Callithrix jacchus: one gene and its partner. The protein of the gene in region 1 interacts with the protein of each later gene in a biochemical or structural test. Links are inferred from orthologs where the notes say so. Each region holds a gene or a part of one and is shown on either strand. Other genes may lie near its edges. The genes, in order: PKD1 and HDAC9.

What was found.
Region 2: the proteins of PKD1 (region 1) and HDAC9 form a complex in vitro, tested with the Homo sapiens proteins (2 studies listed by BioGRID, with this or other methods). The link is inferred for Callithrix jacchus from reciprocal best matches to the Homo sapiens genes PKD1 and HDAC9.

Annotation. Positions count from the first base shown.
Region 1 is NC_133513.1:4,605,218-4,609,720, forward strand, and holds the start of PKD1 (polycystin-1), read left to right. Parts: upstream 1-1,566; 5' UTR 1,567-1,779; intron 1,780-1,816; exon of another isoform or gene 1,817-1,899; intron 1,900-1,989; 5' UTR 1,990-2,052; intron 2,053-2,422; exon of another isoform or gene 2,423-2,516; intron 2,517-2,529; exon of another isoform or gene 2,530-3,216; coding exon of another isoform or gene 3,217-3,319; intron 3,320-3,417; coding exon of another isoform or gene 3,418-3,494; intron 3,495-3,594; coding exon of another isoform or gene 3,595-3,651; intron 3,652-3,749; coding exon of another isoform or gene 3,750-3,815; intron 3,816-4,418; coding exon of another isoform or gene 4,419-4,471; intron 4,472-4,503. Other genes in the region: RAB26 (ras-related protein Rab-26), read right to left, coding at 3,217-3,319, 3,418-3,494, 3,595-3,651, 3,750-3,815, 4,419-4,471. UniProt on the Homo sapiens protein: Component of a heteromeric calcium-permeable ion channel formed by PKD1 and PKD2 that is activated by interaction between PKD1 and a Wnt family member, such as WNT3A and WNT9B. Both PKD1 and PKD2 are required for channel activity.
Region 2 is NC_133512.1:40,375,092-40,379,605, reverse strand, and holds the start of HDAC9 (histone deacetylase 9), read left to right. Parts: upstream 1-1,512; 5' UTR 1,513-1,553; coding exon 1,554-1,850; intron 1,851-2,114; exon of another isoform or gene 2,115-2,378; intron 2,379-3,028; exon of another isoform or gene 3,029-3,191; intron 3,192-4,415; exon of another isoform or gene 4,416-4,514. UniProt on the Homo sapiens protein: Responsible for the deacetylation of lysine residues on the N-terminal part of the core histones (H2A, H2B, H3 and H4).

The DNA of each region.
Region 1 (4,503 bases):
CCCCCCACTCCGAGAGCTGGGTGGGATCCAGCAGGCCCCTGCTGACTCCAGACTCAACCCGAGATGACCACTCTGGCCTGGCTCAAGGCAAGGATGCCTTGACAGCTGGACCTCAGCGGGGACTAGGAAAGGATGCCCTAGCCTCCCTCTCTCCTGCTTCCCCAGTAAACTCCAAAGTCTGGTCCACACACAGAAGGCTGTTTACCAGACCTAGATCCGAAGTGCCTCTCCAGCGCTTCTTCCTCCACGACACTTGCCAGGCACCCTATAGAACCTGGTCTGGCCCCGTCGACTTCACCTCTCCACTTGCCGGTGCTTGCTGGGACACGCCAGGCCCCTTCTCACCCTAGGCCTTTGTACATCTGGCTCCTTCTGCCTGGAATGCTCATCTTGCAACATCCCGGGACTGGCTGCTTCTCCATCAGGCTTTGGCTAACGGCAGCGCCGCCCCGACCCCTGGCCAGTACTCACTTTTTCTTTTACAGCATATACCGCCGCTCCCCATGATTCTATCTGTTGTCAATCCCTCCACCCTGTCTGTCTAGACCAGGGACAGGGGGTGTTGGCCCGCAGGAGACATTTGCCAATGCCTGGAGACTTTTGTTATCGCAACTGAGGAAGTGGGGGTGTTTACTGGTATCTAGCGGGCAGGGGCTAGGCAGGCTGCTCCACATCCTACAATGTTCAGGGCAGCCCCTCGCAGCAAAGAGAGACCCGGGCCGCGTGGTCGATGGTGCGGAGGTTGGGGACCCCTGCAGCAGACACCGAGCTCAGGAGAACTGGGACGATGTTCTCCGCAGTCTTCCAGCGCCCAGAACAGTGTATGGCACGCGGGCGGCTCGGGGAATGCAGGAAGAAGGAATGAGTAAAGAACGCGCGAGGACAGGACGGAGCGAGCGACGGACAAATGACAGGCGGACGGACAGCGACCCGGACCCGGACCCCGAACGTCTCAGCCCCGCCCCGCCCCCCCGGCCCGACCCACGACCTCGCCTCTCCTAGACTTCGACGCGCCAGATTCCGCCCCACCGCGCGGCCCCGGGCCGGGCGCGTCGCGGGGACACTCACCCGCCCGCGGCCACCTGGGAGCCGTAGCGCCGCCGGCCCGCTTCATGATGCCCCCTCGGCCGCCGGCCGGGAAAGGGACAAGCGAGCCGGAAGCGCCCGGCCGCTTCGCCCGCCGGGACTTGTAGTTCCCCGCCTCTCGGGGCTCGGGCAGCTGCCTCACGCGCGGCATTTCCGAAACTACGACTTCCGGCGGCCCCGTCGTCGCAGGGCGGGATTGGCGGCTTCAGAATCACTCTATGTTGCAGATCGAAGTCTCATTGGCTCTACTTATCCGTCACTCACGGTTAGGCTTCACGGATTCTGCATAAGGGAGGTGCTTCAGGTCTGGGTCCAAGAGACCGCCTCCAAAAGAAATGCCAAGGTACGATTGGTGAAAATAACACGGTTAGGACGTGGAGCGTATCAGCGGCAATAAAAGGCGGGCACTTCCGCCGGGAATTGCCCAATGACAGAGGTAGGACAGTTTCTATAAAAGCTTCAGCCTGCGGTGCGTCCGTTCTTTTGGGGTAGACCGCGAGGCGTTGTGTTAATGTTAGATTGTGCCATGTGCTACTAACCGGGGAAGAACTGGGCTACGAACGTATCTTTGCGGGAGGGCCGAACGCTGCAGGCCGGCCCGGTCCCCGGGCATCCAGCCCTGGCCTACGCTCCACTTTGTCCCTGAGCGTTTAAACCTTACTTCCTGAATCTCAGACCTACAGCTCCTTGCAGGTAAGACTGGGCTAGGCTTGGGTTCCCCTGTTCTCCGAGCCTGTGATGAACTGCTTTGATTTCTGACACCTCGTATGAAAACTGCATGTGCAGCCTGATTATTTTGCAAGACTGAGGCTTGGGAGTGCGCAATCCTGTTGGGGAGGGGCTGGGAGTGGAAACGGGAAAGTGGGGACTCATGTCTACATTTTGGCGCTGTCTTACTTTCAGGTTTCATCGTGAGCCGGCTGCAAATTTTGAACCTAAGTAAACCTCAGTCTGGAGGGCCTAGTGGTAAGGTGGGCGCTGTGTCTATTCGAGGTGCTTAGCAATAAAACAAAGGCAGTGAGTTGATTCGGTTCTCTCCAACGTCTTTCATTCCCTATTGCACCCCGGGGGTCTGGCTCATCCACAGGCAATCTTGGGAAAGTGTAGAGACGTGAAAACGGGAGTCATGTTACCAGTGACTTCACAACTCTTGGGATTGACTTCTCCGTTTCTGCCTGTTATTATTTTTTTTGAGAGGAGTTCCGCTCTTGTTGCCCAGGCTGGAGTGCGGTGGTGCGACCTCCGCCTCCCAGGTTCAGGTGATTTCTCCTGCCTCAGCCTCCCAAGTAATTGGGATTACAGACATCACAACCGGTTAATTTTGTGTTTTTCATAGAGACTGGGTTTCTCCGTGTTAGGCTGGTCTCAATTTCCCGACCTCAGGTGATCCACCCACCTCAGCCTCCCAAAGTGCTGGGATTGCAGAACAGGTGAGACAGACACTCCAGAAAACACAACTTTATTCACTAGGACTGAAAACAAAGGCTTGCAGTTAAAAGGCCAACTTTAGTGTAAGGTGGAGCTTGCTTGGAAATCACAGACCTCAGCTGTGGCCAGGCCGTGCTAGCAGTTACCCTTTTCTGGCGTTTATGTGATTTCCCACATTTTATCACAAGGCATCCTCCGAGGTCACTGAGGAAGACCCGGCTGCTCTTTGAGCCAGAGCCTCCTAGAGTGTGGGCTGGGAGCAGTTCCCAGGACATACAGATGTGATTAGCAGTGAAGCCCTCTGTCCCAGGCGTGGGCATGCCACGTCCTCCCTTACCAGCCTGAGCAGCGTTCGGGTGAGCACATGGCTTTTTTTCTAGGGGGTTAGGCACTGTGCCTCACCCGGGCATGCCCAGGAGGGGGCAGCAGAGCACCATGGCAAGGTCTATCCACTTGGCGCACACCCTCTGTTACAGAAGACCGCTTTTCCATGGTGGCTAGTGCCCGGGCCATGGGCTCTCAGAAGCCCACTTGTTGGGACTGCTTGCTGCTGGGAGGAGGAAGGGGCAAGGCTTGACCTGGGGCTCCTGGAAACACACTCTGGCATTGGCCACAGGGCAACAAAGTCAGAAGGGCCTGGAGACCCTCTGCAGCTTTCTGGAGGCTGGGCGGCTTCCTCCAGAGGACTGAGCTCAGCCAGGTTCAGGGGTGGCAGCAGGAAGCCCTGCGACCTTTCCTGTTAACATAATCGTGCAGCCGGAAGCGTGGCTCGCTGGGAGCCTTCATGGAGCGCTGCTTCAACTCCCTGCAGAACGGGGGTGACAAGAGGACACGATGGCCTGAACTCCAATAAGAGGGTTCAGGCCCTGGGCTGGGGGAGTCCTGGTAACTACCGGGACTTACTTTGCTATGGCTGTGAAGGCCAGGTCCACGTTGAGGCCCGTCTTGGCGCTGGTCTCCATGAAGGGCAGCCCATACTCCTGTAAACAGCTGTTGCCAGCCAGGTGGTGGCCTGGCGGGGACAGCCTAGGCTCCGCAGCCTCCAGGAGCACCCTCTTACCACCCCCAGCCCTGACTCACCTTGGCCAGCTTCTCCCCGTCCTCCCTCTTCACCACACGCTCATGGGCAGAGTCGACCTGGCCCAGGCACAGGGTCTTTGTAACAGCTGGCCCATGGTTGGCCCCTGCCCCCTCACCTGCCCTGCGGCCCAGTCGAGGATGGCCCGGCCTCCCACCTTGTTGCCCAGCAGCATGAGTGCCACGTCGTGCTGGGCGTACTCGTGGATCTCGGTCAGCCAGGCCTGTGGGGGGCAGCAGACCGGGCTGGGGCTCCCTGCATGGCTCGCCTCCTGCCCCAGAACCCTGGCCCTCCAGACTATACTGTAGAGGGCACCTGTCTTCATTTTATCTTTTTTTTTGAAACAGTTTTTGTCGTCGAGGCTGGAGTGCCCTGGCGCAATCTCGGCTCACCGTAACCTCTGCCTCCCAGGAACAAGGGATTCTCCTGCGTCAGCCTCCTGAGTGGCTGGGATTACAGGTGCACAGCACCACACTCAGCTGATTTTTGTATTTTTAATAGACATGGGGTTGGCCAGGCTGGTCTCGAACTCCTGACCTCAGGTGAGCCACCATACCTGTCCAGAATACCTGTCTTTAGAAGTGATAACCCCTATATACTACATAGGGGCGCCCATCTTACAGGTCCCTTACACACAGCCCCACTGAGGGAGCTGGAAAGGCACTCAGATCCACTTGAGCCACTTCCAGCCCAGAAGACTTGTCATTCCCCCTCTGAGCCTCTCAGCAGGGTCCTTTGGATCCCTGATACCATCCACACCAGAAGGAGGTGAAGGTCGGGCCAGGCCCTTTTGGAGCCCTTTGACCACACCAGGAAGGCCACTGACCTGGATGTTGTCGAAGGAGGCCTTGTTGGTGACATCGTAGAGCAGCAGCAGAGCTGGGGACAGGGCAGTGAGGACATCCACCATC
Region 2 (4,514 bases), on another chromosome or scaffold:
AAACAATAAAAGCCTAGGCAACATAGTGAAACCTCATCTCTAAAAAAATTAGTCCCAGCTACTACTTGGGAGGCTAGAGGATCACTTGAGCCCAGGTCAAGGCTGGAGTGAGACCTGATGGTGCAGCTGCATTCCAGCCCGGATGACAGAGCATGACCCTGTCAAAAACAAAACAAACAAAAAACCCACAAAAACCAAAAACAAAACAAAACTGCAAAAACTTAAAGGTGTACACTTGACCATTTCTTAACTCAATTTTGAAAGGTAAAGGGTGAAAGCTTACTAGGTAGTTGTATCTGGCATATACACAAATCAGAAATATCTCTAAGATACTTAAGGCAATACCATCAATTTCATCCATGAAATCAGAATCCATTACTAAGATTCATCATGCTAATGAACAGAAACCTCAGATGGGACAGTTAAGTAGAAGCTCTAGCACCAACAGTCTTTGGAGTATGGCCTTTTTATTATTTATTGTTTTTTTTTTTTTTAAATTTTTATTTAAAGCTAGCTGACCACTCCTGCAGTATGAATTCTTAATCAGAGCAAAGTGAGAGATAAATCTAGCCATCACACACTTTTGTCTTCCTGAGAATGCAGACAAGATAGCACTCCTTTTCTCGAGTTACCTTGCTATTATGAAATTGGTGGTCTAATTCCTGAGGTTTCTGTTTGTTTGTTTGTTTGAAATGGGGGTTTCACTTTGCTGCCCAGGATGGTCTCGAACTCCTGGGCTCAAGCAATCGTCCAGCCTTGGCTTCCCAAAGTACTGGGGTTATAGGCTTGAACTACTGAGCCTAGCCCCTAATTCTAATTTTAATCCGAACTCTGCCACTGTGAGACCTTGGGCAAATCACACTACTCCCATGGATCCCAGTTCTCTCCTCTGAAAATGAGGGCACTGGGTTAGTTCTCTCTTGCTCTTTCCATCCATATAATTAATCTATGAGCTGTTTTAGCTGACGTAGAGAAAAACCATAAATATAAAAGCAGAGACAGTAGCTTTAATTCGTTTGACGGTCAAATTACAGACACCATAAATATTAGCCTCTTCGAGTGATCAAGCGCGTTAGCCAAGTATGTTTAGGATTACACTTAAAAATATTTTGGTGTTGTATGCTTTATAAAGGAATCTGCAGCTACTAGTGATACTAGTCAGGATTTAAGTTACAACAGAAAAAAAAAATCCCCAAGGGAAAAATACCAACCACAGAACGTGATCAAAATTCTCAGACCTACTAACTCTGCTTGCCTTCTATCCGGGTTGGTTTCAGAGCGAATGCTCCTCTCTGTTTAGCCTTAAAACGCGGCAAACCTAAGTCATGTTTCCATCAGCAGTCACCATATTCCCACACGTTTCCCAGTTGAAAAGCCCCAAATGTAGCATTTTTTCTCTTAAAATTCCCTTGAATGATTCTTTAAGCTCCAGGCATCTGTGAGGACGTTCCAGGTGCCGCCCCGCAACGCTCCCTAATCCTCTTAAAAAGAAGTCGCTCAGCTGGGGCGGGCAGGCGCTGCATGGCGCGCACCTGAGCGGCCGGGACTTCCTGATGAAAGAGGGGCGCGGGAGGGCGAGGCGGCGGCCTGGCTTCTCCTCAGCACCGTCTTCTGTCACGGCTGCCGCCTGGCCATCACCCCGCGCCTTGTGTGGGCATGTCTCGCTTCAGAAAGAAGTCGTCTTAGGCTCCCTGGGCCTTCCCCTGGATAAAAAAACCGCTGTCGCAGCCCCGAGCTCACCTCCGCTCCACTCTGGGCCGCCCTTGCTGCCCTCCTGCCTCCCGTGCGTCGGCTGCGCGCCCAGGTGTTCCCGCGCCCCTCATCCCCTCAGGCCCGCGCCTCCCCGCCCTGTGAGTATCTAGCGCCTGCGGCCGCGCTCTCGCAGCGGATCCTTCTTCCTTTCCCCACCCAGACCCGCCCAGCCTCCGCCGCGCTGGGGCTCCCGGCCGAGCCTCTCCTCCCACCTCCGTCCTCCACTTCCCTCCCTAAGAAGTGCTATTTTTAGCAAATCCTCCGCGCGCCGCCACCCGCTCAGCTCGCAGCTCCCAGCCGCCCGCTGCCGCCCTCCCGAGCTCCCCCCGCGTGGCGGCGGCGGCGGCGGCGGCGCGTCCCGCACACAGCGCAGCGCGCACTGAGCCGGCCCAGCCGCGCCCGCCGCTCTCGCCGCGGTCTCCTCCTCTAGAGCCCGCTGCGGCCGCTAAATCTCGGCTGGAGGAGCAGCGGTGGTCCCCGAGTCAACTTTCATCCCCCTTTTGGTTCCTGCCTCGCCATTCTCTTCTGCTCCTCGAAAGATGGCTGTTTGGAGAAGGGGGAGAAGTTAGGAGGTCGCCGGCGGGGAGCGAAGGAGGGCGCGACTGCCTCAGCAGGAACGGGCGGAGGTGAGTGGCACCACGGCAGAGTCCCCGGCTAGTGCTTGAGGAAAGCTCTGGGATTGGGGGCCACCGGTCCTCAGGATGCGCCGCGGTATTCCCTGCTCAGGTTCCCCAGGTTAACAGCATCTCAGTCCGGACTCGGATGCCACTTGCCTTGTATCTCTCAGCCCAGAGACCGGTGCGTTTAAGGGAACCTTTGTCAGAAGTTGGGTGCTAGGTGATCTCTGTGGTGCAGACCTCGACATTTGTCTAGGCAAACTGAGGCGAGGGGTCGGTGGCGTGATTCTCTCCCGCCCTCAAACACACCCAGTTTATGTTGGAGCCGAGCTATGAATGAAAAGTTTGTACTGGCAACGTGTTGCTTGAGGGGAGCAACGCTTATTGGGGGTACCTTTGATGTTTCGTGGGGGACTTCAGTTTTAAGTCAATACATCAGAATACTGGGTTTTAAGAAAAGTTCAGGAGTCTGGGGGATGGGAGATAAAGCAGTTCCTTGGCTAGTGGAAGCAGAGTGATGAATCGTAAGCTTATTAAGGTAAACTGGTAAATTAGATGCCATACGAGGGTGTCATAGTGGGGACTAGAGAGATCGGAGGACGGGGGCGTTCCCTGAGCGCCTAGCAGGCTGCATTTGTTTGGCTTTGAAGCCGTCACCCACTTGTCCGCAGTGAGAGGTGCTGGTGTCAGGCCTGTGTGTCTGTGATGTGACAGAGAGGGACTGAGCTCTCTCCATATCCGAGGCACAGTTGTCAGGAAAGGTGGCCTGCGACGGAGAGCTGAGGATGCAGTTCCTGTGATTTGGACTAGGAGAATTCTCTAGTGAGTCTCCTATGCTCTAATTTCAGGAAGATCTACCAATTGTTTTTTCTTCCAGGGAGGTGTGTGTAATCTGCTAAAAGGAACTTTCAGCTTTAAGATTAACTATGGCATTTTGAAATCCTGTAAGAAATGAGATAGCTACATATATTCATTATTACCTATACGTGGTGTGTGTGTGTGTGTGTGTGTGTGTGTAAAATATGGGAAAGGAGTAAGAAAGGCTTAAAAAGTAACTTCTACAAGAAAAGAAAGCAAAGAGTTAATTTTTTTCTCCGCAAATGGTATAACAATGCATATACAACTAAATACTCTTGCTGTGCTGAGATTTCGCATAAGGAGTAAGATTTAGGAATTACAAGCATTCAGGGCACTGTCATGTTTTCAAATCTCGCAGGCATTATTGAAATCTGGAAAAAGGGAGTACGTACATACAGAACCCATATTAAATGAAAAAAAATTTTAAATCTTCCAAAAGAAAACCTTTTGACATTTGAAAAGGCCTGGATGTTTTTTTCTGATGGCCCAGAAATCTTTGTAATCCTGTAATTAACAAAGCACAGAGTAATTTGCATTTAATAAATTAGAAATCATATTTACAGGATATCTTTTGAACTTCTCTTTGGTACTTTTGATATTTATTATGAAAATTATTGTGACTGAAAATTTGTTGTTTAATCTATTTGCCTTTTACCACAGATAATTAGTCCTCCTTATCCTTTTAAACCACTGTTCCAGTTTGGACAAATTTAATTCTCCAAGCATCAAATTACTACTGTTCCTTCTGGAAACCATTTATATTTCGAATGGCTAATAAGAATATTTTATTTCTGAAACAACATAATTTAGTCAGTTGTAAAACTTGCTTGTAATTCTCATCCATTTTGTTTGAATGGGGCACATTTGAAGAAGAGCAGCATTTTCTTCGAATATGCCATTTTCTGTGTGGGAAAAAGCTAGTGTTTTCATATATATTTTAGCTATTAAACAGATGCATGTAAGGTGGGAATCCTGTCTGACCTTTGATAAACCGCCAGCCAGAGGGAGAGAGATGCTTTCCTAGCTCTGCTCATGAATTGATAATCTTTACTACAGAAGGGACATGGTTAGATGCACATAAGATTGTGCAGAAGGAAGTTAAGAGTTTTAAATTAAATACCAGTCAATGGGTAGGAAACAGATTTTTTATTTTTTAATCTCGACGTTACTGTTTCTTTTCTTCTGCAGTTCAGCCTGTTGGGCTGGCCTTTATTGGAGAGTCATACCAGCACTCTGACAAGAGAATGTTAGCACACTAAACTGCCATCTTCTGTAAAAATGATGGCT